Linked DNA regions of Arabidopsis thaliana. The protein of the gene in region 3 interacts with the protein of the main gene of each other region in a biochemical or structural test. Each region holds a gene or a part of one and is shown on either strand. Other genes may lie near its edges. The genes, in order: PIL1, PIF3, PTAC12 and PIL5.

Region 1 (6,959 bases), 4.7 Mb from region 3:
GTGTTACGCATTATCCTCGAATAAAATCTAAAATAAAAGATGAACAAAGAGAGAGTTGGAGAAAACGACACCGTATTGAGACATCCATTTTTGATAATGAGGAAGAATACGAGGGAAAATATCATTGGAGCTAGGATCAAGAATCGAAAGATGAGATTCTCTCTTCATCTTCTTTATCTCGCTGAGGTTTCCGTAAAAGATTCTGTAATTTGGGCCTGAGATTCCTTGGTTTTTGAGTCTTCTGGTCAACACAAATGGATGCCAAACAAGAATCATAAAAGCTTTGAATATCCTGAGACCAATAATAAGGATTAAGACAATTAGTGCCAAGAAAATTACGAGCCCCATGGAAAAGTTTTTTTTTCCTTATGTTTGTGTGTGTGTATTGTTGTTCTTGGTTAGGTGTTTTAAGTTCTACACTATATAATGACATGCACATATAACTTTGTAAAATAAGTCTATGGCCAGTGAATGAAACACTATCTAAACACTACATGAAGTTAGCACAAACACGTCTGTTTATTTTCAATTTGAGAACAAACAAAAAGTAATTAATAAAGTAAAATGTGTCTTATATATGGTATGATGATAGAGTAGATTCTAAATATGCCTATAGCACATATTTGTTACGTAATAAGACAATTATAGAAAGTATATAAAAAATGAGTGGATAAAAGAAAAATATAAAATTACTCATGAAAGCTAAGTAATCCTTTTGGGAGAATAATTTAGTTTTAGCATTCATTGTATCTTAGGTTTACTGTTTCTGTATCTTTAAAATAATCCGGCATGGACAATGAATCAATGATTTGTTGTTAACATATCATTGTGAACAAAATACTTGATGAACTAATTGTTTGGAGAGTTAATTTGGTATTTGAATTCAAACGAAAATGTTATAGAAATAGAAGTACAACATTGTGAAAATAAATAAACAAAGATGAGAGATATTTATCAACCAACGGTGCAATGTGATGGATCGTGACATCGAATCTTAAAATGAAACACTTTTTCGTTTGTTATCTACTTTTGCATGGTTTCATATTTAAAGGAAGTGGTTGAAATTTTATTTCTATACTAAAAGAATTGGTTTAGACTTAACTATCCACTTTCTTTAAGTATCATGTTAACTCATGAAATAAGAGTCATCTATTTTTAAAAGAGAATCTTCACATTGATTTCAAGTTTTCAACGCACCTGACGCTAAAATATCAGAAATTCAATGTGTGAGTCTCATCTTCATCACACTATTGCACTCCCTTGTTTTCGTGTTTGAAAAAGCCCAATTAATTTTTTAATGTTTGAAAAAAGAAAGAATAAAGTAGATATTAGTCCACTAAAAAGCCCATCAAGCCCAAGTTTTGTAGTACTTTACTCAATCTCATCATTGAGATTGTTCCTTAATCCCAAAAACATGGCAAAATTCGTTTCAAATTACGATTTAGGTCAAATGAGTTGTCTTCATCTTAGTTGGGTTTGCGTTAAAATCGGTTTATCGTAATTGAACACTCATCATCATCCATCATTATGCAATTGCACGTCCTCTACTTATAACTTTGTTATAGAGTCTATGATAACTTATATTTGTTATATTTTACTTTGTACATCCACTTTGAAAATAGTTGGAATTAAGTTCAAATCGTTCCAAGAATCAAGGCCCAAAAGCCCATAGACTAACAACACAGAGTAGACGATCATTTTTTTTTGCTTAAAGTTAGTTAGTTGGAGAAAACATCAACTTTCTACAAATCATTAGTTTGGCGAGCGATAATAACTAAAACCGTTGCTTCCTCTATATTGCATTGCATCTTCTAAGTTTGAGGCGGACGCAGACTTTGGGAATTGAGTAAAAGAAGTAGCCTGAGTCTGAGAAACACACGAAGGCACCACGAATGGCTGAGAGCAATTTTCCAATGGAGAAAAGATAGGAGTGTTTGGAATTAGTCCACTTGGGTGATTAAGAAAGCTTAGCATTTGTGGTGGTGCATTGTTCATCCCCGGAAAACCGGTTGCTTGAACATTCATAGGCAGGAATTGCGGTATTGATGTTGGTGTTGCTGCTGCACCCATATGCATTCCTAGACCCATGGGAGAGTAATGACCCATTGGCAACATCGTAGGTGGTCTTATTAATCCATTTCCCATACTCATCATCTGTAAATAATTATTAGAGCATGTTAATTAAGAATCTTATATATATGTAAAAAAATTTGTAGTAAAATAAATAAGGAATAAACTTTTGATTGTTTATTGATTAGTGTTTAATTACGTTTATAATTTGTTTTGGTTTCTCTTATGAAACTAGTTTCTAGTGACTTTATCAAGAATCATTCGTAAAGGTAAAAGCCAAACGCAATAATATTTGATAACAAAAACACTTTACAAAGTATATTTTAATGTTAAAAAACAAATTTATATGTAAATATAAACACAAGTCTGTGTTTAAATAATTAACACCTGAATCATTTTATTATCTCTCAATGAAATTTTATTGAATTGGTGTATTATTTTGAATACCTGAACTTGAAGTTGAAGGGTCCGCATATATTTGATAGCCTCATCCAACAATGAAGCCTTATCATCCTATCATCAACAATTACAGATATTCAGAAATCTCCACAAAGAGAAAATTAATTAACTCTCTAAGACTAAGTAAACAATGTAATGTGATTTAAGTTAATCTCAAACCTTGTAACAATTTGGTAGTAGGTCCTGCAAAGCACGCATTTTCTTGTTGAATTCATCTCTTCGTTTCTGTTAACAAATCCTTAATTAGCATTAATTTTCATACATTATTTTTTTTCTACTAACTAAGGTGAAATTTTCATACATATAAACTCACTCTTTCATATAACTTATGGACTTCTGTGCTTCGTTTTCTTTTAGTCACCGGCTTTCTTGTTCTCGCATGAACTTGTGTCTTCGCATCATCTGATTCATCATCTGAATTCTGCATAAGCAATAAGAAAAAGACAATTAATGATCTACCATGTGAAAGAACTAAGACAAGCAGCTAATTAATTTCTCTTACATTACTTAAATAGGTTGATTCTTCTTCTTCAATATCTCCATACTTCCTCTTTAAAGAACAACAACTTAGATCTCTCGAAGTTCCTCGAGAAAACTTCGATGAAGAAGCAAAATACAATTCCGTGGATCTACCAACAGCTGCAGATTGCTCATCAGGAGGAGCTGTAGTAACTTCAACATTCTTTGGACCTTTAGCAGAAACATCAATTAATGTTGATGATTCAACACATTTGTTGCTTTTCGAAACATTTCTCTCAAATTCGATTTTGGAGGACTTTAGCTTCTTCTTATTGTTGTTCATTTGTTCATTGGTTTCTTTATCTTGTTGTGGCTTAGACTGACTCACCGGAACAACTTGTGTGTCTCCAAGAATCTTGATGTTTTTCTTGAAACCCTCGCTGTACTCGGTCTCATACAAATCCAGGAGAGATTGCCTACGTTGCTTTTGAAAAGAACCGTTGTTCTTTGGTCTTCGAATCTTTGCAAGAATCTGCCCATTTTCACACACCAGCTCCATATAATCTTCATCTTTTAATCTGCAAGAAAAGAGTCACGTATAAATAACCTATTAACAAAAAAAAAATAGTCAGGAGAAGACAAAATTGTTTCAAGCACCGACAGAACCATAAGCGCCCATTATTTCAAAACCACGCATGTGTATATGTTTATAGAAGTCGCAAAAAGTGTAGATGAAACCATAATAAACTTACTTTGGTTTAATGTTTGATGATGGAGAAATCATGTTTGGTTCAGATGATGATGATGCTAAGGGTTTTGCTTCCATTGAAGTAAACTGAACAAAGCTTTCTTTACTTGTCTTTTTTTTTTTCCGGTTTTTGTGAATTGTAGAATCAGAGAGATTCGGACTTCACACTTTGGTTTTCTTTCTTGGGGTTAATGAAGAGCAGCATATATATATATATATAGTCGGTTGTATATATGTATATTCGCTTATTTCATTTATGATTGATTGATATGGAGGATTTGTTTTGGTCCACAACTCATATATTTATCCTTGAATCGTGATTATGACACAGTATGGAGAATTAGTACAAATTATTACCTTACAAACTTTGGTCGACTTCAAATGTTACATTTCAGATTTATAAAATTTACAGTTGCTTTTTTTTAATACAAAACGTATATATTTGTTTGTATATGTGAAATGAGTTTTCGCACGTTTTATAGAAAAAATATAATCATAAATTCATAATAACATAGACTATACTATATATACGCGATAAAGAGTAGTATAAGTATTCATGTTAATGTGTAAATCTTTCATTTTAAAACAAAAATATTGATGGAATAAATGAAAGAAGCAAGATAATGTATGGGCGATAGTGAAAGACAAAGAAATAGAGAGAGAGACATTCTTATGACCGACTTCTCTACTCTCCACCGCTCCATTTTTCTCTGCTTTCGGAAAAAGAATAGAAAAATTAAATAAAAATAAAGTCAAATCTACGATTGCAATTCCTTTTTTTTTTTTTTGTCTTCATCTAAAATGAGAAAATATTAAGCATGATCATTTTTTTAACGTCTGATCCGTGAATTTTACTTGAGCACAGTCAGATATATATATACATATATTTATATATGGTTTTGTGTATTTCCTTTTTATTTAAAAGGTCAGGAAAACACAATGTAGTAAATAGGAAAACACAAAAAAAATCACTCCCGATGATGCTCCAACAATAATGCAACTAGTATTGATTTTTTCGTCATGCAAATTCCTATAAGAACGTGTTCTTAGAAAGTTTAGGAATAAATTCCAAACTATGCAATGACAAAGCGTCCAACTGAACTTACTAAATAATCTCCAGTATTGGAACACACTATTTCTATATTATGTTCGTGTGTTATTTTTTTTATTGAAGATAAAAGTATTATCAATAAGTAATACGCATGTTCAATTGTTCACAATTAAAAAAGAAAGGTCAAAACTTAGGTAGACCGAAAAAAAATCAATAATGTTGTTATCAAAAATAAAACAAAACACTAGTAAAACTGTAGTGAGTGACATGCGAGAGAGACGGGCACAAAAGGCCCACGTGAGCGGAAAGAACCTTCACGCCATTATTAAGACATATATGGATGGGCCCTTTCTTAAAGGCTTTAGTTTTCTCTTTAAATGGGACCCACAATTAGGCTTTTTTTGGCCAAGTTCACGTGCACTTCACGTGAATGCCGCGTGATTCATCCACCCCTTTGTGTTATTTTGTCTCCCTCCCTTCTTTCTTGTTTGTTTCTAACGACTGCTACTATCTTGTCGTCTTCTCCATTTTTACCCTCTCGACACATTCTAAATTCTTTTACCGACCGTAAAAAAAGAATCCTCTGTGATTTGAGATCTCTCTATTTACAAACAAAATTATCTCTACCATGTTTTTATCATCACAGTAAAATTGTTGGGTCCAACATTTTATTTTCTGTTTCATTCGATTGATATCGAATTGTGACCATTCTTTGTTCAGTTTGGTTTTGATATTCAATATGAAATACATCTCTGTTAAAGTAAAATATTGTAATTAAAATTCACATCAACGTCTGCAAAATATTCTGGTTTTTAAAAGAAAAATGTTTGGATTGGTTTTGCTTCGATATATATCAAGATATCAATAACCTAATTAAAAGTTGTTGGTTTAATAAAAAATATCTGCAGTTGCTGGCAAAAATAAATTAAAAAGAAACCTTCAAACTGCTATATAAAATAAGGCTCTATGATATAAGTAGTTTTGTAGTGGTTCAGTGAACAATAAACTATTCTATACGAATACGAATCAATGACAATGAGTCAAAGCATCATCTACTATATCTTCTTTATTCGCCTGAACTCATGAGACCACTAAACCAAAGGCTGGTTTTGCTTGAGAGGTTTTTCTTTCCTGGTTAACACAGTTCGTCTAGTTTATGTTTTAAAATGGAGAATAACGACGTACGTGTGGTTGATTGATTCTGTGAGACTCAGTGTCAATCATCCCTCAAACATTCTGCGACAATCATCTTCAGCTGCAGCATCTTTCCTCTCGCAGACTGTAAACCAATACGTCATTTTTAAGTTGTGCTTTTGAATTCATGATTTAACCATTTTTAGAATCTGACTCTTAAGAAGCAGAACAATGACTTGCCTTGTTTACAGAATCGATTCTTTTGGTCGCATCGTCCAGTTTTGTCTCGATGCCTCCTTCAAAATGTGCAATGAGTTTTTGGTGTGATGTTCCTGTCATAGAGAGATAAAAAGTTATCAAGTGAGTTTAGGAAATACTTGTCCTCCTGCTATTATTATATTAAAACTATCTTGCCATGAAGAATCTAACTTTGATAACATCATATGTTTCAAGTATTTCTAGTGTTAGAATTCGTTGTAGTAAAAGCAGGAATTACAGAAGTTAACATACTTTGCTTCTTTATGCTTCCTTTCAGCTCTGACTGGTTTGCTTCAAGCTCTTCGATAGTACTCTTAAAATCTTCAAGATGATGGCTGACATCGTCCTTGAACTTTTCATGGATCATTCTCATTTTCTCTTCTTGCTCTGTTAGACGATTAGATATTATCAGTGAACACAATAGATCAGAACGGATCTTGCATATTTTTATTCAATGAGTGGAAATATGGAGACATTTCCAGACTCTCATGTTCCACAACAATACACAGCTCAATTTTTTATTATTCTCCACATAGGAATGAATTGAGCATTTAGCTTTGTCTTGATATAACTATGTTAAATGCAAGTTTCATGTCTATGTTAGAGCCGAAAGTATAGTTAGGTGTGTGTGTGTGTCTAATCAAAGAGACATGAAAGCACAAGAATGAAGCAAGATGGTGAGTACTTCAAGACTAAATGCAATCTAAAGAGTAATACTTGATATCAAATTTCCGATCTACTACCTTGAATCAGGATTAAACTGCAAAGATAGTATATTTG
Region 2 (8,208 bases), on a different chromosome or scaffold from region 3:
ATTAAACACCCAAGTGGTTATGCTATTTTTACTAATTGCTTGCCTCATTTGCTTTTCCAAAACTGATCATTTGATTTGTGTTTTGTGATTTTGTGGTCGAGAAAAATATCAAACTTAGAAAAGAAGGCAAATAATATTACAGATTTGATTAAAAGTGAGAAAAGAGGGCTTGTATGGTTGAATTTCTCTCTAATATGGCCCAATCTAACTGGTAAGAAAGGAGAGAAGAAGAGACATAATCATAGGTAATCTTGATATATTAATGTAGCCAAAAGCAAAATGATGTTTAACTTTTCTTTTGCTTTGCCACATTAACACCATTTTCTTCTATTTCAAGTTTCGATCTAAACCTCGTGTAATTCATTAATTTGTCTCCCTAGGTGTTCGACGTGTCCATTTTCTACTGCTTGTTGTCTTTCGTAATTAGTTAGAGCTGTCTAATCCACCTCCATTAGAAGATACAAAATCTAAATGGAAGTATAAACCCTTTTTTGTTCTTCTCTGCTTTCCACTATATAGACTACCTTTTTCAGTACTAAAGGTTTTAATGTTTTATTTATTATGCATTACTTAAGTTTAATAAGTCTCATCAATTTAAACGAGGACAGAATCATCTAAATTTCTCTTCTATATATTACTTTTAAGAAGTCTTTGGTGCAAAAATGTTTGTGAAGACGCGATTTACCACACAGAACTTAAGTTTACGCTAAAGCTATATAGCCTATATATAGGGGAAACTATTAATAAAAGTCTGCTCGCTGGCTGGCAGGCTGGGTATATAAAACATCTCTAACTATAGAAACAAGCATCTACGAGAAGTTGACAACGTTTTGTGAACATAAAACAAAGTAACAAACTTCCTAAAGAATTGAGGAAGAAATTTTTTACTTTCGACAAAACTCCCAATCGATACAATCATGGACATATATATAGCTTCCAGCATCCGAGAAACAAATCAGGAGCTCACATTTGCCCTCTTCCAAACTATGGTTCTCTAGGCTCTAGCTCAACTCCTCCGATCGTTGACCTAACCCTAACCATCGATTCCCTTTCTTTTTGTTAAAGAAAACGTAACAGTCATGCGTGAGCGAATCACTTACTACGTATAACATAAACTACATATCAAGCTAAGTGATGCGCTCAAACACCGTGTATCATGTAACTTATATACACCCTATAGGTTCCAACAAAAAAAAAAAAAAAAAAAAACTTCCAATAATTTCAATTTTCGCGTGGGTATATATTCAGCTTCACTAGTTCAATAGTCCTGGCCCAAAAAAAGAAAAAAAAGGAAATCGAAAGAAAATGTCATAATTAAGTTATTTAACAAAATGGGCTGAGAAGCCCATCACGCTTGTTTAACCAGGTCCATCTATATAGTGAACCCCACGCTACATTAAAAAGGGAACAAAACCTTTGAAAATATTAAAAACATTTTTTAATTCAAAACAAGAAACAGAACAGAACCCACCAATAAGCACAAAGCTCTTCACTGTTATAACGAACACAAATTAATTTTGTTTAGGATTATAAAATAGATTTGTTTGAATGCTACAAATAAACAATACATCAGTTCATAAGTTTGTATTTATGTCACGACGATCCACAAAACTGATCAGAAGACCCCTGTTTTCTCTTTATTGGTTTCAAGTTACTGTTGTTATTCGTCGTTGTTTGATCTTTAGAACCAGATAAATCTCTAGTCGAGCCATTGCCAATCGTCGAAGAACCGGCAAAGATACCACCACCAGAGACACGTGGAATACCCATCGCCACTGGTTGTTGTTGCATCCCCGAGACTTGGAACTGTGGTCCGTGGTTAACCGATGAACCACCACGGCTCAAATCAGGCAAGCCCATTGCATAAGGCATTCCCATACCCATTGCCATTGCAGCAGCTGCTGCCGGGTAATGCCCCATACCCGGTGGGAACATAACCGCCGGTGGCAGATAGTAACCAGACGCCATTGACATGATCTGTTGGCGATTATTGTGTTTAGATTATTAGTTTGCACGATTTTTATCGACTCTAGAGAGTAATGAGAGTGTTACCTGCACTTGAAGTTGGAGTGACTTGAGATACTCGATGGCTTCATCTAGCATCGAAGCTTTGTCCACCTTTAAACCATATAAATGTTACAAAAGCTGATTAAATACGAAAATTCTCGGCTTGAACAATCTTGCTTACAATATGGTTTCAATTGTTTTTCCGGTTTAATAAATACGGAAACCAATCAAAAACCTTTAGCAATTCGTTCTAAGATGCAAGTTTTAGTTTATTTGGCATTGCTCCTTATCTTTCAAACAAAAATGAATCATGAATGGTATTTGTAAAGGAGAAGAAGCTGACCTTGTTACAGTTTGGAATGAGTTCTTGCAGGGCACGCATCTTCTCGTTGATCCTATCACGCCGTCTCTGAAAATTGAGGACAGTAAGTTACCAAATATAGCAATCTTTTGTGAGTTTGAGAATGGACAAAAACCCTTTAGGGGCTTCACTCACTCACCCTTTCAGACAGATTATGCACTTCTGCAGAGCGGCTTCTCTTTGAACCCAAACCCGTTCGAGATGGACCTGCTTCCTTTCTTCCATCTCCTGATTCTTCTTCCACATCCTGCTCAACAATATTCAATAAAAAAACTGAAGAAAACAACAAAGAAACGAAATTGTAATGTGCATAAAATGACATGAGTTTAACTCACTTCACTATGACAGTCAATGTCTTGAATATTCGAATGCTTTCTCTTTAAAGAAAGTGAAGGACTTTCGGATGGGCCATCGAGACTATTACCCGAGCCAACAGAAGAACATACAACTGCTTTTTCACTCTCTTGGTCTTTTCTACATGAGTCCTCTGATATTAGGCAAGCCTTTTGGTTATCTTTAGGCGTAGCAGAAGCAACAGACTCGTTAAGAACCTTATCTTCAGAGTCTTTAGCTCCAAGAACTCTGGTCTGAAACACATTTGGCGGGCTTTGAGGACTCTTTTCTTTAGTGTCATGAAGGTTATTATTAGTAGTCTTCGCAAAAGTTGCAGGGCGTAAGAAATGTGAAAAGTTGACCAAACTAGGCTTGTTACTAGTAATTAGTGGTTCCTGCGTCTGAGTAAACCGATCCGGATTGGTTTGTTGGCTAGGAAGATCTCTAGCTCTATCACTTCCATACAGAGAATGCGATTGGAAACCGTTATACTGCGACGAAGAAGCAGCAGGAGCTGATTCATTGCCATCCTTTCTTCTCTGAAACAACGGGAAAGCAGTTTGGTTTACCGCCATATCACTCTCTTGCTCGTTGACAGTAACAGGAGACGACACATCACGCAAGAAATCAGAGCAATATCCATCAAGGGAGGGATGATGATTCAACCATGGAACAAAGTCATCGTCTTGACTCAAACCCGTCATTAGTGATGGCACTGACATAGGGATCTCGTCCACCATAGTCGTCTTTGAGCCATTTCCAATCTCTCTAGCTCTAGAAGAGTTTGCTTGTGGTGGAGGAATGTTCCTCGATCTACTTGACTGACTTTGAGTTGATATCTGACCATTTTCCCACACCAGCTCCACAACTTCATCTACAGGTCTGTTATTTTTCACACACAACAAAAAAACACATGAATTTGATGAACTTGAAACAAGGCAGACTTAAAGAGAGACAAGTGAATGGGACTCACGGAGAAGGGTTCCTGTCTTGAGCAGATTCAAGCTTAGCTTTGGTGAGCCTGAAAAGCTCAAACAGAGGCATGGTGTTGCGTTTTACAGAAACAATCTTTTACGAAGTCTTGATCCTAAAAAGGTGAATTCATAAAATAGACGAATTAGGCCAAGAAAAACTTGCCAGAAACAAAAATTGTACACTTTGTAATGCTTAAATTAGAAAACTTTTCAGTTCCCAAATTAGAAACTGGGAAATAAAGAAATAGAAAAGAAATCAATGTCTCAATCATCAATATGCAATATAAAAAAAGCAGAGATTTTCACTTAGTTTAATGGCAACATGATTAGTCAAATCAAAACCAATTGTTTAATCACACTGAAGAACGATTCAAAACAGCGCACTCAAGACCTAATTAACCATCTCTTAAGAAAACCAAAACAAAAAGATCAAAACTTTGATCTTCTTGTCTGAATAAAGCTATCATCGTAGCTGACCTGAGAAAAAGGGTACTGAAGCAATCGAAGTCAGCGAAGAGAGAAAGAGAGAGTGAGAACCTCAAAGTATTAAAGTGGCATCAATCCAAATGCAGAGAACAGAGGAGAAAAAGTCGGCGAATTGGAGTAGTCCTGAGAAAGTAGGCGGAGAGAGAAGGAGATGGAGACAAATCGACGCACAAGACGGACGCAGAGAGAGAAGAGAGGGGACCAAATCGTCTGTAACTGAGGATTTTGATTTTTTGTTTTCACAGTCTCTGAGACTCCGTTTCTCTCGAACATTCAACCTTTTAGCGTCGCCCGAATCATTAGCTCTACTCTTTACCTTTCTCTCTATTTTTCTTTTCTCCCTATATTTATAAACACATAATTAAAGAGAAATTGCTTCATATAATCAAATATTAATTATGTCAATGATTATATATAGTGGATTATATATGTTGCACTAAACATTGCAACAATTTGTTAAAACACACACCAAATACAATTCTACCATGTTTGTTTGTTTTTTTTTGCAAATAAAATGATGAATTTTTGCATACAAATAGTCGATCGTATGATTACTTTGATAAAAATTAAAGACAATGATAATTGCGTATGTATTGTTTTATCAAATAGTGTTCATTCTCTTATTTTAATAGATGGTCAATTCTCTAATATACTAACAAATCAGAAATACTATCTATAGAACCATCTCACTGAGATCTTTGTGATTAAACAAAGTATTGATTACTTTTTTGGGCATGTTGTAGGTATCGAGACAAGTTTAATAATTATCGTAAACAAGTACTAGTTGTTGTATTAGTAGTGGTTTTAGGCTATTAGTAGAAATAATTAATGTTTAATTAGATGTACTATATATAAATAAATTACGGTATTATACAATCCTTCAATTGATATGGTAACTGCTTTCATAAGATATTGTTATTAAACGAGAAAATTAAAGCAAAAGGGACCTAGAGAAGAGAGTTGGAGCATGGTGACCAAATTGCTTCTCACCGACCTCTGCACACTTCGTCTGTCTCTGTTACATGATACAGGTCCTTCGCATTATTACAATTAATTCATGGTGTGTCTATGAATAATTTAATACACTTACAAATATGAAAATAATCATATACTAGAATATGTTATCTTATCTTAAAGTGACATGGGCCTGTGATACACTAAAGTTGTGTGTGAAGAGATGTGTTATCATAAAGGAACACTGCCAAAAAAGCATCACACTCCAAGTGGGGTTGAGCAACCTTGTCTCTCTTTATCTATCTTAATTATTAAAGGTTTGACTTCTCTAATCATTACTATTTTTCTTAAGTCTTTTTTAGTCTTTACGATACTAAATTACTAATCATCCTCAAATTTGGGGACTCACTCAGCAAGTTCTATTAACTGATGAAAACCAATCATTTGCGCTATAATAATTGAGATTTTTTTTAATCATGGGATATAGTATGTGGTATAGTGGTTCCAAACTCTTAGATTAGAGCATATTATCTTTAAATCTAATTTGTTCCTTTCTATAAGTAAAAAATAAATAAAACCATCTAGAATATCAGTCGAGTTTGTTCACGAACGTTGCATCTTCTGGTTTATCTCTCGTTATAGCTCGGTTGATGATGAAATGTCAATTAAATCGCCATGCAAATTAGATTCTAAAATACGTAACAACCCATTGTATACTATAAACTTTCCAAGTGGATAATTTGAGTACATTTGCATGGACCATTATTGATTTCATCACTGTATTTTATGGCCATCTCTTGTTCAGAAAATAATTATAAACAAATTTATTATAAAATCAAACCGAGTAAATAAATAAGTAGATATATATATCAAAGAAAGAAGAAAACTCGGAATGGAAGTGATCCTACTATATTATTTGGGAAGTACATTTGAAATATAATCTTCTTTTTTGTAAGTAATTATATAGGTATGCCATTAGAAATAAAATTTTAAAGAGTAAATTAATTCATTTCTTTAAAAATTAAAGAGTCAAATACTAATTTAATTAATTAAATTTAACTCAAAAACGAAATACATTATTAATTTCCAGAAAAGTAACCAATTAAAATCAACAAATTAGATTTGATATCTAAATTATCATATTAATTTTTAAAATGTAACCTTATTTTTTGTAAGTAATTACATACGTATGCCATTAGAAATAAAATTTTAAAGAGTAAATTAATTCATTTCTTTAAAAATTAAAAAGTCAAATACTAATTTAATTAATTAAATTTAACTCAAAAACGAAATACATTATTAATTTCCAAAAAAGTAACCAATTAAAATCAACAAATTAGATTTGATATCAATATTATCATATTAATTTTTTATTAATTATTATAATTCACCTCTCATCTTTATATGATTCTATTTTTGCGAAAAAATAATATCATCGTTATAAAAAAATAATTAGAGTTTTTTCGCATATGCCACAATTTGAATTTTTAAAAACGAATATAAATTGTTCAGTACATGAAAAAAATACTATAACGGGTCAAAAGTAGATTTAAGAAAAAAAATTACTGAGTACTGTGTCATAATTTGAATATTTATATTCAATTTCATACATATTATTTTAAAATTTATAATCTTATATACTACAATAATTAATAACATATTAGATTTTTTAATGTGTATGATGTGATTCAATTTTTAATACAAGCTGAAAAATCCTACAATTGACGGGTTTAAATCAATATTAATACAAGATGGTATACTACATGTGAAACTCTAAAATTAACAATCAAAATACAAGTATATAATTTTAAACACTAAACAATATAAATAATATCAACAAAACATATACAACTCGTAGTTTCTATACATTTAAAATCAAATAAAATAATATCATATATTTATAATCAATTTTACAATAAAAGTTTTTAGTTTAACTAAAATATAAGCCTATCTGCTGTATAATGCAAGTTAAAATTATAAATAAGCAGATTACCATCACGATGGATGTACCTTCTCACATACACACCTATCAAAAACTTAAAACCTTTCAAAACCTCTTGGTATATTCAAATTAGGATTCTTCATTCATGGAATCATTATTCCAAAGATTTTGGGATGTCTTATGAAATGATTTTGGCAGAAGAGGATGTAAATTTTTTTGAATAAAAAGTACTCACCAAAACATATGTTTATTGGGATTTTTTAGATAATTAAATCAGAGAATAGGGCTGGACATATGAGTAACCCATTCGAGTTCATGTAGAACCCGTTCGGGTTTGGGATTAATGGGTATATGATTTACTATTTAATAGAATAATTCTAAATATTCGGTTCGGGTCGCGTCCAGTTGGGTTTAGGTCAGTTTGGATAAAAAGTTTCAGGCCCTAAAAGTACTCAAAAAATAGAAACGGATATTTTGTATGTAAATAGTGCGTCTCCAAACAAAAAAAACTTTTAAATTTATTAAGTTTTAATAAATTTAATTTAATTTAAATATATTTTACTAAAGTTTGACAAATATAACAAATAATTTTAACAAACATAGCAAACATAACAAAGTATACAATTTAATTTATATAAAATATTAATGTCCGTGCTATATACGGGTTATGATCTAGTTGCTATATGTTAGGCCAAAACTCAAATAAAATGACAAGACCCTGTCCCCGCACAATTCTCTCAATCCGCCGTGGAATAGGCCAACAACAGGTTTTTGATCACTTACTCTACATTCTCTACAAAAATAAAAGATCTGATCTTTAGCTAGCCGACCACGTGCCAGAAGTTTATACTGGCATTAATCTTTTACCTCATTATCATGAACAACTTAGGAAAGAGAACCCTAGCTCATTTTTTTTCTTTCTTTTCTTAGAACTGGCCCTTCCACAATTTAAAAGGTCAGATACATTTGCTATATATATTATCAAAACGTCACTTTACGTCAACACAAAAGCAAATTTGTTGGAGAAGATGATCATGATCAGCAGGTAAATTATTCTCGACGATGGTGATAGATGATGAGTCGATACACGTGGTGATTTTTGAGGGCACAAGAGATGTGACACATGTGACATATGCTATTACAATCTGGCA
Region 3 (7,409 bases):
CAGTATCCTCCCTTTTAAAATTAGTAATGCTCGGGTCATTGTAGGTCGCAAGTCTACTGCACGATGATGTCTTGGATGATGCCGATACAAGGCGTGGTGTTGGTTCCTTAAATGTTGTAATGGGTAACAAGGTACTCACTTGACAGTAGAAGCTAAGACATGATTAAATATGCTTTTTGGCGATTGTGCTGCAATTTGGATATGAAGATCACCATTGGCTTCATGTTGTAGATGTCGGTATTAGCAGGAGACTTCTTGCTCTCCCGGGCTTGTGGGGCTCTCGCTGCTTTAAAGAACACAGAGGTAAAAGAAACTAATAAACGTGACCCTGGTATTTTAAACTTTTCGAAGAAATCTTTACTTTTTATAAGATACTGTGGTTGACAGGCTATATTGAATCTCCCGTGATATACAATCTAGAATCAATGACATCTGTCTTCAGAATTAATTATCACTTCTTCGAAGCCATACATCTTCATTGTGTCTCTTTTTTTGTAGGTTGTAGCATTACTTGCAACTGCTGTAGAACATCTTGTTACCGGTGAAACCATGGAGATAACTAGTTCAACCGAGCAGCGTTATAGGTATAATCTTCTTTTCTGGTCGATAAAAACAAGACTACTCAAGTCTTCTATGCTACTAATGTATGTTTGAGAATCAAAACAAGAGTCGATTTTATCATCAAAAACCCGATCGCGGCTTATATAGGAACTGGAATTCATATAATAGTGATCGGTAATGCAAATATGATTTTTTTCATGATTGCAGTATGGACTACTACATGCAGAAGACATATTATAAGACAGCATCGCTAATCTCTAACAGCTGCAAAGCTGTTGCCGTTCTCACTGGACAAACAGCAGAAGTTGCCGTGTTAGCTTTTGAGTATGGGAGGAATCTGGTTCGTTGTCTTCTTCTGAAAACTTTGGCTCCATTGCAACTAATTTTCTTACAGTACTTTGATGAACTTCTAATTTTTCAGGGTTTAGCATTCCAATTAATAGACGACATTCTTGATTTCACGGGCACATCTGCCTCTCTCGGAAAGGGATCGTTGTCAGATATTCGCCATGGAGTCATAACAGCCCCAATCCTCTTTGCCATGGAAGAGTTTCCTCAACTACGCGAAGTTGTTGATCAAGTTGAAAAAGATCCTAGGAATGTTGACATTGTAAGTTTGAAAGAAACAAATCTCCTAAAATCTATAATATGTTTTCATAGTCTCTAATACTATTATATCACACAGGCTTTAGAGTATCTTGGGAAGAGCAAGGGAATACAGAGGGCAAGAGAATTAGCCATGGAACATGCGAATCTAGCAGCAGCTGCAATCGGGTCTCTACCTGAAACAGACAATGAAGATGTCAAAAGATCGAGGCGGGCACTTATTGACTTGACCCATAGAGTCATCACCAGAAACAAGTGAGATTAAGTAATGTTTCTCTCTATACACCAAAACATTCCTCATTTCATTTGTAGGATTTTGTTGGTCCAATTCGTTTCACGAAACAATAATGTTTGACAAGCTGTGGCTTTGGTTTTAAACTACACATGACAAAAAAAGGAGACAGATACTAATTGTGAAATCATATTCCTTGCGAATTCGGTTTAGGTCTTGTTTTAACAGATTAAACCGTCTCAAGCTGAACTAAACAGGATGCAGTACAGTTAACAAATCACTTTCAAAACTCTATAAATTCAATCAAAAATATTTGAATTCCATATGATACAAATCACTTGCAAAACTCAAATCCACTCCTAAATGATATCATCCCTTCCAAGTATACAAGCAAAACCAGTGAAGAAAAAGTTGCCCTAAATAACGTCTTTACATAAGAAATACGAAAACCAGGTTTAAGGATCAGTCTCCTCTTCAAAGTCCATGAGAAAATCAGTTAAGTTCTCAGCATCATCCACGGCCTCGTCTAGAGACATCCGACCTTCCTTCTTTGGTTTAGGCTGTTTAAGAAACCAAGCTCATAACATCAACACACCACACAAGACATATAATGTGGCTCAAGTTGAATGTGACTTTACCTTGGCGGTGCGAAGCTCAGGGGTTTCCTTCAAGACACTCCAGTTCCTCGGCACTTTCTCGTCGTCTTTTTCTACATCTGCATCGTCTTCGTCGTCCTGTCAAAAAATGTCCGGAGATGTTTCAGAGCATGATACATCAAGAAACAATAAAGAAGAAGAGGATCTGATGTAATCGATGATACTCACATCGTTTTCACCAATATCAACAGCTTGTGCCATTGCATCATCCATGTCAGGTACCTGCATTCATACAATTTATCGAACATATCAAGCGAAACCCTGAAATCTCACAATCAGAGTTGTGTCAAAGGAAATGAAAGATTGGTCACTTTACCTCGAGCTGCTCGGTTTTCTCTTTTGTCAGTAGTGCTTCATGCATCTCTCTTGAGATGACTTTGCCATTCTGATCAAATCAGAAACAAAGAAAACAATCAGACCAAGAAAGAAAAAGAATAGAACTTTGAGCAAAGCAGACTAACCTCCTTTAGATAAGAGAGCATATTTGGTGTAGGCTCATGAAAATCAGGTCCTCTGAAATCCATAACCGCATTAGGATCTTGAATGTAGTTAATTGTCGGGTAAACTGGATCCCCGCCCCAAACTGCAAGAAACCGAGAATGTTAGTCGAACGATTGAATATCCATGATGAGTTAGTTCAAACTTCAACGGTCAAAGTTTCTTACTTTGCTTAATTTGATCCTCCCTCATCCGCATTGCCAATGGATCTCTCTTGATCCTAATATCAGTTCCCATCATTATCCGGTATTCTCTATCTGTTTGATGAGAGAACATCTCAATCAGTTGTGTGTTTTCATCTTCACCTGTCTCTTCAAAATGTTTTTGTACAGCTTCTCTTGACGTGTCTCTCTTCCATGCTTTAACCCATTCAGAATAAAAAGCCATTGGACCTTCTTTCGCTAATCTCTCTCGCTCAGCTTGCAGCCTGAGAGAAAGAAAACTCGAAAGAAAATCCTAATAAAACAGATTTTCACTTGAAAGTTCGTTAGATCAATATACCTCTCTTCCTTGAAAAGATGCCTTCTTGCTCTATAAAGAGAAGTTTCTGTGAGTGTTGGTTCTTCCCCATAGAGCTTCACTTGTCCTGTTTCTGCCATTGCCTTGAGGAAAACCTGCATCAACAACAAAAAAAAATACCATAATGGATCAAACATTGGGGAAACACACACATGTTTAAACCTGAAATCATTGTGATGACTAACCGTTTCAACATCAGGACGTCTTCTTTGCCATCTTGACCATTGTTCTTTCTCCGGTTTCCTCCAGTTCCACCACGATTCATCGCTCGTGAGTGTCTTTTCAATTTGTTTCTTTTTCGTAGGATCAATGAAAGGATGTGGCCTTCCAAGCTTTTTGTCTAATTCAAAACCAGTCTCCTCTTCTTCTCTCTCAAATTCATTCTTATAGGTAACAAACCCATCCGAGGAATCATTTTCCTCTTCTTCAGAGCTATCCTCAGAATCGGATACTTCGTCATTCGTTTCAACAGTCACATTCTCCTCAGTAGCTTTCCTATTCTTCTTTCTCCTACTTCCAGGATTCTTTCCATAGGAAGGAAAACTCGAAGACTCACCAGCTGGTTGAGGAGCTCTAGCAGCTCTAACCCGGCTCGAAGTTCCTTCAGGCCAATAATCCTCACCTGGAATACTAGCCCGAGCCCCGGACGCTGGCTCAAGCTTCCCAGAAGTTGAATCCATATAACTATGGTAAGGATGCCTCTCAACAGTCACATACTCAAATCCTTCTTCACTCTTCTTAGACCCTTCACTTACATCACCATCTCCATCCTCTTTCTTGCATTTGATACAATGTCGCAAAGACCGATCCCTAGAAGTAATCCCAGCATGCAATGTCTTGAGTGGAAACCCACATTTAACCCGTCTCTACATACATAAACAAACTTTTACCAGTTTGACATCTTGAAACAAGCTAAAATGTTCACTATCTCTAAATTAGATAAGTTTGGATCAGAACAAGAAACTTGATGTGTAAGAACCAACCTGCACAATACAATTACTGGACTTTCCACTGTCTGTGCATACTTGACCTCGGTAGAGCCAGGTGGTGGTTGATATTGACGCCATTTACACTCTTTCTACTTCTCACTGTATCATTTACAAAAACAACCGATTCAATTATGCTCAGAATCAGTTTCAAACTAGTACAAAACATAAAACCCAGATAAGAAGAACCTGATACAACAAATTGTCCATAACAAGGTACGATTTTTTTGGGCATTTTTACAAACGCTTCACACTCGAAGTTGAGGAGAAAAAGACTAACCTTTTTGTTTTACCAGGAGATTATGTAGGAAGAGGGTTTTCTATCATGGAGCTTGATTTTGAAGGGGGTTTTGGCTTCAAAAGGTTTTCACTTGTCAGTTTTTGGGTTTATCCATTTATCTCCTCCTGCGTTTATTAACATATTCTGGTGACGGCAAAATCTCTAGATTTCACGACGCGCCGGTATTAGAACGGGAATTTGTGAAGAGAAAGTATATGGGCTTGGTATATCTAACTAAGGCCCAGTATTAATGGATCTTTGAGAAATTGTGAGCTTGAAGTCTCTCTTGGGCTTTAACAAACACTTCCAAGAAGAACAAAACATCTTTTTCTTTTTTGGCAAAACATCTTCTAAACAGTTTATTATATTGATATACTTTCAAATAAAATCAATATGTGATTTGATCATTTAAAACATGCCTTAACACAAAAGATATATGGAAGAATGTTTATCGAAGTATGCATGTGAACACATCTTAGTTTTGTTAATAGATTTGCAATTTACAATTGCGATTATACAATTTTTAGATAGTTCTCTCCGTAATGGATTAATATAGTGGACTAGAGGAACATGTTACACAAAAAACATCAATCATTGTACCTTTAAGTGAATAAATACTTGTATATGATTTGTACTTCAGCGTGTGTACGTACTTGTCTAAGACACTATAGAAGGAAGAAGGTTTGGACCCAACGTGAATGGCAATTGGCTAATGTGCTAATATGGTCTGAACCAATATTAAATGGGTCTGACCAGACACATCATAGACATTACGGTATCTATCACAGGCCTATTTTAACCTAATATCCTACACTTTTTATACATTAATACTACTATTGCTTACTTCAAACTTGCTAAACGACGATAATATTTATTTCTAGGGACCAAACATATAATTGTTTTTTTGGTTTTCTGAAATTTGGCAGACGTAGACCACGTAAGACTATACCACAAAGGTCTGACTAGGCACAAGTTTCGCTGACCCGCACGCGCCTAACGTCACCTTTTGAACTATTCGTGCAACGAGCGAGACTATCCATGCGGCGTCGTTTTTTCCCAACTTCCTCTTCCTCTCGTATTGTCAAACGGTCAAACCTATACTCCTACATAAGAAAAAAAGAATCAGCAGCATATAATAGCAACATTTGAAACTTCATAAGCATATATAAAGCTAGAGATGCAAACTAAAGACAAACAATATAGCAGTTTCGAATTATATAATAGATACAATAAATAAAAAAATAAAAAAAGAATAACAACCTTTTATCAAAAATAATACTGTAATAATAATAATTTGGATACTATTACTATCTTTTCGAGTTTGCTATTTTACATAAAACAATATGTCAGGGAAAAGAATCTCAAAGCACTAAAAAAAACTGTAATTTGATGCTTTTGGTGACCGTTAATAAATGAGTGGCTAATTGGAAATCTCGTCAAACTTTTTCTGCGACATAATTCACTTCCACAAGTAATTGGAACAGAATCTCACAAGTGGCGACGTGTACTTACCTCCACATGGCACCTATCCGTTCGCTAAAAATATACTCCATGTATAGATGTGTGTAATATTACATGTGTATAAAAGCGACGACGAGGATAATCACCTCGATGAGTATTTGAGTAGATGTGGACTTGTCATGAACATTTTAGCAGAGAGACAATGCATGCATACAAACAGAGAACTAACAAATTTCTTTAGTTTTTTACCATTCGTAACTTAAAAAGTTTATTCTTTATTTACTTGTAATACACTTTTGTTAAATGTTACATAGAATAATCTCCGATTTATACATTATTTGATCAGTGATCATAGTTACTAGTATCTATTAGTTTATGGTATGTTTTGCCACTGTTGTTCAACAATGTTGCAATTCTTACAAAATTCTTGAATCAACATTCTTTTTAACAATCAACTATCGGTTAAAAATATGAACTAATAGTATATGAGCTGCTGGTATGTTTTTCTACCAAAAATCAGATATTTTTCTTTGTTTATTGCATTATGATTAATCTAAACACTAACTAAAATTAGTAGTATTATTACTGATGAAATAAAACAAAGGAGTGGTGGGGCAGAGGGAGGACAAGAACGGGACAGTGGCATAAATCAGACTGGTGAAGCTGTCCCTTGTGTTGTTGGGTACATCCCATGTGTTGTCACACTTCTCTTCTTTCTATTATAGTATTAATCAAGATCTAACAAATCATGTTATTTTATGTGTTTTCAATTATTAATCACAATTATTCTATACTCCATTCATTTCAATTGTTCACCGTCACAAGCTTGGTCCGATGATACAAAAAATTGTTATTTAATGTACATATATATAGATATACCCGATCACCTACTATGTTCCCTTGTTTTTGTGTGGTAATGAGACAAATATCAAGTTTAAAGCTAGACCAGAGATAGATATCAACAAGCATTTGTGTGAAAGGATATTTTTCATTAATTTAGTAACGTGTGGGCAGTTTTCTATATACAATTCCGTGCTAGTCACTGAACAAGTGTAGCTAACAATGTTCTAAGTTGCTCTACCAACCTCGAGCAACTATGTGTACTCTTGCTTATAACACGTCATTACAAGCTATTCAATCGAAATGTCTTGAGGGTGATGAAACTGACGAAATTCGACTGAATAGAGAATGAAAATATCTTGAGGAAGAGCTTCGGTCATAATAGCATCATGTTAGTTGACATTACAAACATAAATAGCTACCTTGAGAAAACTCTTCTTCATATCATCACGTACGCTGTGAGTGACAATTGATATTTGTGTTTAGTAAGTGTATGAGAAACAAAATTTGTATGTGTGGCATGTTATCGCAGAAAAACTCGGTGATGTGAATCTTTAATCTTGTGAAAAAGTAGAAACGATTGCAGTTATATCAAGTTACAAGTAACATTAGCCATACGTATGCGTCTATATCAATGTTGGTTCGAGTCACTTCGTTTTGCTCCTCAGCTTTCCATGAAATAAAAGAATTCCCAAAATAATTACATAAACTATAAACGGTTCTCTTGGACTTTTGATAATTTGTCTACTTTGTACAACGTTTAGCATCTT
Region 4 (7,317 bases), 5.9 Mb from region 3:
TGAAAGTTTGATAGTTCACTACATTGCATGTCAAGCCACACTGGCTAAATTGGTTGGAATTTATGATGGAAACAGGCAGATGGACATGAGAAGACAGGTTGCTACAATACAGTATGTCCAGGGTTTGTACAAGTGAGTAGCAAGCTCGCACTTGGAACTCTTGCCAGACCAACTTCCACTTATGATGGCGAACAATACTATTTACAAGCCATCATTTATCAGGTATATATAACCCCATGTTTCTCAAATCCCACTCATATTGACAAGTCGATGTTGCATAACACTTAGGTATATATATTGACCAAAAATGGTAGTAAAAATATCGACCGATGATTACTATTGTTTACTTATAACTCAAGTCAGAAACAACCCAAAATTATTTTTGTGTAATCGAATAAAGAATAAGCAAAACTTTATAAATTTACGTTTTGATTTGGTTTCATGAACCAAAACCAAGAATTAAAAATGTTTTCATTTGGTTTCAATTTCCATAAAACCTATATATAAAAAAAAAAAAAAAAAAAAACTCTAATTTCAATCGCTACTTCTAAAAGAGTTACTGCTTTTGGTTTAAGCAGGATAATATTACAGGAAACTGGTGGTTTTTGATAAAGAACGAGCCAATTGGGTATTGGCCAAAATCATTGTTTCATGTTCAAGGTTTAGCTTATGGAGCAAGTCGTGTGTTTTGGGGAGGAGAAGTTTTCAGTGCACTGAGACAGAGTACAAGCCCACTCATGGGAAGTGGACATTTCCCAAAAGAAGGTTTCAAAAAGGCAGCTTTTGTGAACGGCCTTAAAGTGATAGATCGTGAAATAGAAAAAATTAGAAGTCCACCAGTTAAAGATTTAAGATTATTCGCAAACAGCCCAAAATGTTATAAAGTCGAAACAAAAACAGGGGTCGGTGAGGAGTGGTCTAGTGCAATTTTCTATGGAGGACCAGGAGGATGCACCATTACTTAACAAATCTTTAAGGTCATTTACGTATAAGTATACCTTCTATTTTGATGTGTTAAGGAAATATATAGTAAAATAACTTTGACAAAAATAAGGAAATAGTAATACTAATATATAAGTTTTCAAATACTATAAATGTTAAACTTCTTTTTACATCTTCTTTATTAAGCAAATACAAAATTGATTTAACGGTTTGATACATATATATGCATGTTTGTCAAGTCTTATGGTCATGGAGATAGCAAGTCTTAACGGTTTGAGAAATTTGTTTGCCTTTTCTTTTAGCTTTATATTTTCGATATTATGGTCATGGACTGGAGATACCATATTAGTTGACATCACTACGTTTTTAGATGAAGAGATCCTATGAAAGACACTACAAAATGGGCAATGCTTGGCCAATTACATCATTAATTTTCTTGCTTTTGTTTGCTGGCTTTTGTCCGTCTATTTACATATTTTGTGTCACATTGTGAGCTTAGTTGCAAGGACTAAGATTTGTTTGTGCATTTGTATCGATAAGTCTTTGGGACTTGGGAGTGGAACATTTGTAAATATTCACTGTTAAGCTTAATCAAGAATTGCTTTCGTCAAAAGTAATAATAATAGACGAGAAAAGAATAATGATCGGGTATGTATATGAACCTAACTTTCTCATATTTATTCTTTGCACTAAGCCTCTGCAACCTCTATGTATTGATTCCTAGATCTCTGGATCATTACATGTACAGCTCTCTAAGTATACAACCTGAGAAGAGAGGACAAAACAAACCAAAGAAAAACAAGAAACAGATGGCGATATATATACATGTTAGGTCTCTCTGTCAATTTCTCAAAATTGTGTTTGCTTGTGAAAACAGATCTTCTTGTTGCTCCATGGACATTATTAACCTGTTGTGTGGTTTCCGTGATCCTCAGATTCCTTACTACTACTCACCCTGCTCGAACTTGGATACGATGTTGCTTGATTCTAAAATAAGAAAGATAAGAACTTGTGACTTGTAAGCAGAGGAACTAGCCATTTTTGGGAAAAAGATGACTGTTTAGTACCTGAAACTGAGGTGGTTGGGTCGGGTCGGATAAGAAATTGTGTTTGCTTGTGAAAACAGATCTTCTTGTTGCTCCATGGACATTATTAACCTGTTGTGTGGTTTCCGTGATCCTCAGATTCCTTACTACTACTCACCCTGCTCGAACTTGGGTACGATGTTGCTTGATTCTAAAATAAGAAAGATAAGAACTTGTGACTTGTAAGCAGAGGAACTAGTCATTTTTGGGAAAGAGATGACTGTTTAGTACCTGAAACTGAGGTGGTTGGGTCGGGTGGAGACCGCGGAACTGCTGATATGGATCCGTGTAACCAGCTGGATACTGAGGCTGGCCCGAGGTTGGATCATACTGCTGGTTCGGTACAAAGACTCTTGACGGGTCAGAAGCATGAACAGGGTATTGCGGTCCTGACCCGGCCATGTGAGTTTGTGTAGGCAAAGGTCTTTGAGCGGCTAACATGTTGGGGAATGGCATGAAGGAAGGAGGAGGAATAGGCTGGTTCATACCCATACCCATCGCCATATGAGGCATGTACTGTTGCATGCCCGGATACATCATTGGCATCATTCCACATCCCATTGACATCATCTGCATTAATCTCAGTCATATAAACTGGAGTTTTCATGGTAAAGTGTACATTTTCAAGAACTTAAAAAGGGCTTTCAAGACTTAGAATCCTTTAAAGAAAATGAACCTGTATTTGAAGCTGAAGAGATTTCATGTACTCAATAGCTTCATCTAGCATCGAAGCTTTATCTGACTGAGGATCAAAGAAACAACAATCAGTAACAAGGTTAACGTATACAATAACTTGAAGAGAAAGAAAAAAGATCGTCGAAGACCTTGTTGCAGCGAGGTATAAGTTCTTGCAAAGCTTTCATTCTCTCATTGATCCTATCTCTCCGTTTCTGTTACCAAATCCGCGACATTCTTCAGATTCATTGCGAAATCTTTATCGAAAAAGATTACAAAAACATAAGAAAAAACACAAACGTACTCTTTCAGAGAGATTATGAACTTCAGCAGCACGAGATCTCTTGGTAGATGTTGTTGATACACGTGCTTGTTTTGTTTCCTGCACCACAAGAAAACACCAAAAAAGTTAATTAAAAATGCGCTGAAAACTACAAAGTCAGACTAAAATGCGCCGTATTTGACTTGCGCACGATAGCTAACAACGACTCTGTTCTGTGTTTTTTTGACTCACCTCGCTACGGGATTCAGTTTCATCAGTAGTGGTGGCTTCTCTCTCTTTTCGTTTCCTATCATCGACGTTCGTCTTCTCCGGTTCGATTTCGCTCTTTGACACTACAGATGACGATGTACCGGTTATCTCGATCGCCGGCGCCGTCATAGCCACTGCTTTTCCCTTCCGATTATACGCGCCGCCTCCAGCTACGGCGGAACTGTCAGTACCATCCGTCCGCCGTGTTAAACCGGATTCACTCGCCGCCGCCGACGGTGTTGCGCTAGGACTTACCTGCGTAGATTCTCTCACAACCGCCTTCGAAAGCAACGGTCCAGATTCACCACCTCTACCGTTATTAAAATCCCCTCTCAGCCTCGAGAAATTCATGAAGTTCCTCACCGGCGGCCTCGACTCATTCGTCGAAGATACTGGCGGTCTCGCGGCGGTGACTTGACTCACCGTCGCGGTAGCCGTCGCAGTAGGTGCGGCGGAGAAGAGAAGATCTGAGCAGAAATCATCGTCACGGAGAGGATAATGAAGCCAAGAAGTCATTTCATCTTCTTGAATAAAAAGATTCTGATCTGAAGAAGGTTGCTGCTGAGGATCCATAGAAGGAAGAAGCTTCGGTGGAGAAGAAGAAGGTTTCTTGGTGTGAAGTCTCTGGTTTTGAACAACAACTTGACCGTTCTGCCATAAAAGCTCCATAAGATCATCATCTTCACCCCTAAAGTTTTCAATACTATAAATACTCAGATCTTGAACTAATCAAACTTTTTTTTTTTTTTAATATAAGTTTGAATAAAAGAACTTACATAGTAGTAATGGATTTTCTAGGAAGATGATTCAAAGAAGAATTATGGTTGTTGACATAATCATCATCGGTATCGAAGTCAGGGACAAAATGATGCATATCTCTCTCTCTACAAAGATGATGATAATGGTAAGTATTAAAATAACAAACAGTTATCTTCTTCTTCTGGTTTTATAACCAAAAGAAAAACCCCAGAAAGATCCAAAAGAGTAGCACTAGTGAGTAAGTGTACTACACACAGAGATTACTAATCAGTGAAGAAACATATATACTACCCAGACTATATCTAACCTAGAGAATTGAGGTTGGTACTGGATAGGCTTCTCAAAAAAAAAAATATATCACCTTTATTTCTGGGGAACTAGTATTGGATGACTGGATCTTTTTTTTTTTTTTTTTGTGCTAAAGGATGACTGAATCTTATTCTGAATTTTCGTGCTTTAAGAATGTGATAAGCTTCTTAAGGGTTTTTGTCTTTTTCTTATATGTCTCTCTTTGGAGTTTGTTTTTGCCTCTTCCGTGACTCTAGCATGTATCGCATTTACTATTGTGTCAACTAACTTTAACAGTGAATTCTCTATTTTATTTATGTGTGTATGTGTCTGAATAGAAACTTGTGCCCATTTTTTAACCTCTGAATAAAAAACCAAGTTGAACATAAAAACAAAATGTCTGAGATCATTTGTAGCTGACGGAGATAAAATAATCAGCCTCATTGTTTCTCATCCGTACTATAAATTGTTTTCATGGCATTATCATCAAAAAAAAATTATTTTATAAACTTTATCCAATGATCCGGTTAATTTTGGTAAAAATATATTTAAGTATTACAAAATAAATTTATATTCAAGGATCATCACACATTTATTCCGAGTTTAGAATATTAACTGATTAACACTTAAACATAACTGAATCGCATGTTACCAGATTACCATTTAACTTGTCTGGACCAAACCTAGACATCCTACATGAATATAATTTTCTTTTGATAGAAGATCGAATACCGGATGAAATGGTATTTTAGCAATAAGACTTGAAAATGTGGTATTTTGAGAAATGTCTCAAAAAAATATGACTGACACGAAAATAATATTTTGTTTTAAGGGAGCCTCGAATTCTAGAGGAGTATTGTAGCAAAATATCACACTTTCAAGTTGTGTTGTCAAAATACCACCAAAAGTTTTGTTTTCCAAAAATATTATACTTCAATTTTGATTTTCAAGAGTTCATCAGAATTAAAAAAATTAAGTTTGAATTGACCATTTTAATTTTAAGATATTGTTTTTAGGGGTTAGGGTTTAGTGTTTAAAGTTTAGAGTTTAATTTTGAATGTTGGAAGTTAAATTTAAGTTTTATGTTATTTTAAGAAACCAAACATTAAGTGGTATTTTTAAAGAAATAAACAAAAACTTAAGTATCATATTTAAAAATTGTCCTTTTTTATATCGCTAAATTATAGATTTAAGACTACATATATCTTGCAGGAAATATTCCTTTAGTCTTGTGGTTAAATCCATTTGATTCCGCTTTTTCCACCAGAGTTTGACTCCACTAAATCGTGTTATCTTGCATAATAGATATTGGCTATAGAATAGACCATGTCAATCCAAAGATGTTAAAAACAAAAGACTACAACATATGCAAACATGATATTAAAGACTTAAGTGAGTCTCCTCTTCTATAAACAGAAAAGTCGAATGCTACATAAAGTGTTAATTTATAATCATTTATAGTAGTCAAGTTAGTGAACAAAGTGTTAATTTCTTCTATAATACTTCTTTTGTTTCTATTTTGTTCTAGTTTAAGATTTTGGTACATTGATTAAGATCATTTAGTTTCTGTTTTCTTAAATTTTAAAAATATGTTTAATTACATATTTTAAAATAATTTAACCAATAAAAAGTTGCAGAATTTCAAGAATCAAAAATAATAAAATAATAATAAATTTTGCATTGAAAACAACAAATAAAATGAAACAACTTATTTTTTTTTATAATCATTTTACCTTTTGATAAAGAGCATTTATCATTGATATGGGAACACGCACATATATATATATATATACACATTAATATGTATATACATATTTTTATATAATTCCAAGTAGGGAAGAAAGAAACAGAGAATCAGATATGGACTCACATTGGTGGGGACAATATTAAGACAGAAATTGGGTGTTTTTTTTATTGATAATCTCAATGATTTATGAGACAGGGTAATATGTTTATTTTTGTTGCTAAACCACCCTCTTGCATGATCTATCAAACTTAATTATTTATTCTTTTATTCAGATTTAGACATAATCTATAAACATCAATTTTTTCAAGCTAAATTTTGTTGCTAAATCACCCTCTTGCTGTTGTACATTTTTTTTGTCCGCTAAAATGATTTGTACCTATCTAAAATATATTTTGATTTACCATCAAAGTTACTTTAAATTAAACAAAACGCAAAATAGAAAAAAATATTATCTCCTGATAAAAAAGTCGTAAAAAATTTTGATTGAATAATAATGATTTGCGTTTTTGTTCTTTAGAGTAAAATATAATATTTTATGTTAGATGCAAATGACAAGACAAAAACTGAAATTAAAGCCTGATTGTGGTTATATTTAAACAAAATGCTAAGTAATAATATTCCGAAAATTATCATATATATCTCGTCTTATAGACTACATATGCTTATGCAATTGTATGTAGCTTTTTTTCTTTACCAAATTATGATTTTGTAGGAAGTAGGAACTGAAACAATGAGACATTAAGAGAGAACATATTTAATGGGAGTCTCTTAATTACTAATAAAATATAAAAAAAAATAAGAGAGAAAAGTGAGAAATTCTAAAATTTTTGTCTCTTATTTGAATAACTCACAAAAAACTCTTGAGACATTATGTGTCTATAATTGTCTATCTTTTTCATCAAAAAAAAATTGATAATTTAATTTATGAAAATATTTAATTTATATTATTATTTAGAAACTCATTTTGGTTTCTCACCGTCTGAAGTACGTACTCTCGGTGACTGTGTTAATATTTGAATAATTAAATTGTTGATTAGTGATAATAACATAAATTCTTAGAAAGTTATTGTCTACTTGATGATCTTTACCAGCTTTGGAATAAAATATCAAAAAGGTCTTTATTAGATTAATAGAATAACATTTAATTTGTCATCAGATTTAGATACTAAATTAGCATGTTGGGTTTAAGGAAACGATAACCATAACAAGAAAACCTTAATCATTTGCATAAGACAATGATTTTCAGGTAATCGCACGCTAATAATACTTTATTAGGTCTAATATTAGTC

Evidence for each region.
Region 1: the proteins of PTAC12 (region 3) and PIL1 form a complex in vitro, tested with the Arabidopsis thaliana proteins (one study listed by BioGRID).
Region 2: the proteins of PTAC12 (region 3) and PIF3 form a complex in vitro, tested with the Arabidopsis thaliana proteins (one study listed by BioGRID).
Region 4: the proteins of PTAC12 (region 3) and PIL5 form a complex in vitro, tested with the Arabidopsis thaliana proteins (one study listed by BioGRID).

Annotation. Positions count from the first base shown.
Region 1 is NC_003071.7:19,293,865-19,300,823, forward strand, and holds PIL1 (phytochrome interacting factor 3-like 1), read right to left. Parts: upstream 3,995-6,959; 5' UTR 3,815-3,994; coding exon 3,741-3,814; intron 3,674-3,740; exon of another isoform or gene 3,658-3,673; coding exon of another isoform or gene 3,650-3,657; exon of another isoform or gene 3,567-3,649; coding exon 3,032-3,566; intron 2,951-3,031; coding exon 2,843-2,950; intron 2,755-2,842; coding exon 2,689-2,754; intron 2,584-2,688; coding exon 2,518-2,583; intron 2,155-2,517; coding exon 1,753-2,154; 3' UTR 1,567-1,752; downstream 1-1,566. Other genes in the region: CYP709B1 (cytochrome P450, family 709, subfamily B, polypeptide 1), read right to left, coding at 72-348; ASY3 (asynaptic protein), read right to left, coding at 6,004-6,066, 6,162-6,253, 6,432-6,566. UniProt on the Arabidopsis thaliana protein: Transcription factor. Involved in responses to transient and long-term shade. Required for the light-mediated inhibition of hypocotyl elongation. Necessary for rapid light-induced expression of the photomorphogenesis- and circadian-related gene APRR9.
Region 2 is NC_003070.9:3,072,753-3,080,960, reverse strand, and holds PIF3 (phytochrome interacting factor 3), read right to left. Parts: upstream 5,194-8,208; 5' UTR 5,109-5,193; intron 4,561-5,108; exon of another isoform or gene 4,503-4,560; 5' UTR 3,746-4,502; coding exon 3,675-3,745; intron 3,584-3,674; coding exon 2,704-3,583; intron 2,616-2,703; coding exon 2,508-2,615; intron 2,417-2,507; coding exon 2,351-2,416; intron 2,119-2,350; coding exon 2,053-2,118; intron 1,978-2,052; coding exon 1,594-1,977; 3' UTR 1,307-1,593; downstream 1-1,306.
Region 3 is NC_003071.7:14,580,207-14,587,615, forward strand, and holds PTAC12 (plastid transcriptionally active 12), read right to left. Parts: upstream 4,592-7,409; 5' UTR 4,339-4,591; intron 4,161-4,338; 5' UTR 4,140-4,160; coding exon 4,056-4,139; intron 3,939-4,055; coding exon 3,258-3,938; intron 3,168-3,257; coding exon 3,055-3,167; intron 2,981-3,054; coding exon 2,721-2,980; intron 2,639-2,720; coding exon 2,517-2,638; intron 2,441-2,516; coding exon 2,372-2,440; intron 2,278-2,371; coding exon 2,224-2,277; intron 2,134-2,223; coding exon 2,038-2,133; intron 1,960-2,037; coding exon 1,855-1,959; 3' UTR 1,629-1,854; downstream 1-1,628. Other genes in the region: GPS1 (geranyl diphosphate synthase 1), read left to right, coding at 45-131, 232-303, 499-584, 769-901, 983-1,171, 1,247-1,426. UniProt on the Arabidopsis thaliana protein: Involved in plastid gene expression. Acidic transcriptional coactivator necessary for the transactivation of many PIFs target genes (class B genes), particularly during the regulation of hypocotyl growth.
Region 4 is NC_003071.7:8,702,431-8,709,747, forward strand, and holds PIL5 (phytochrome interacting factor 3-like 5), read right to left. Parts: upstream 4,575-7,317; 5' UTR 4,355-4,574; exon of another isoform or gene 4,119-4,354; 5' UTR 4,109-4,118; coding exon 4,011-4,108; intron 3,923-4,010; coding exon 3,217-3,922; intron 3,085-3,216; coding exon 3,007-3,084; intron 2,918-3,006; coding exon 2,852-2,917; intron 2,770-2,851; coding exon 2,704-2,769; coding exon of another isoform or gene 2,689-2,703; intron 2,598-2,688; coding exon 2,259-2,597; intron 2,179-2,258; coding exon 2,095-2,178; 3' UTR 2,010-2,094; intron 1,930-2,009; coding exon of another isoform or gene 1,846-1,929; 3' UTR 1,594-1,845; downstream 1-1,593. Other genes in the region: AT2G20170 (NEP-interacting protein, putative (DUF239)), read left to right, coding at 76-222, 579-965. UniProt on the Arabidopsis thaliana protein: Transcription activator. Negatively regulates chlorophyll biosynthesis and seed germination in the dark, and lightinduced degradation of PIF1 relieves this negative regulation to promote photomorphogenesis.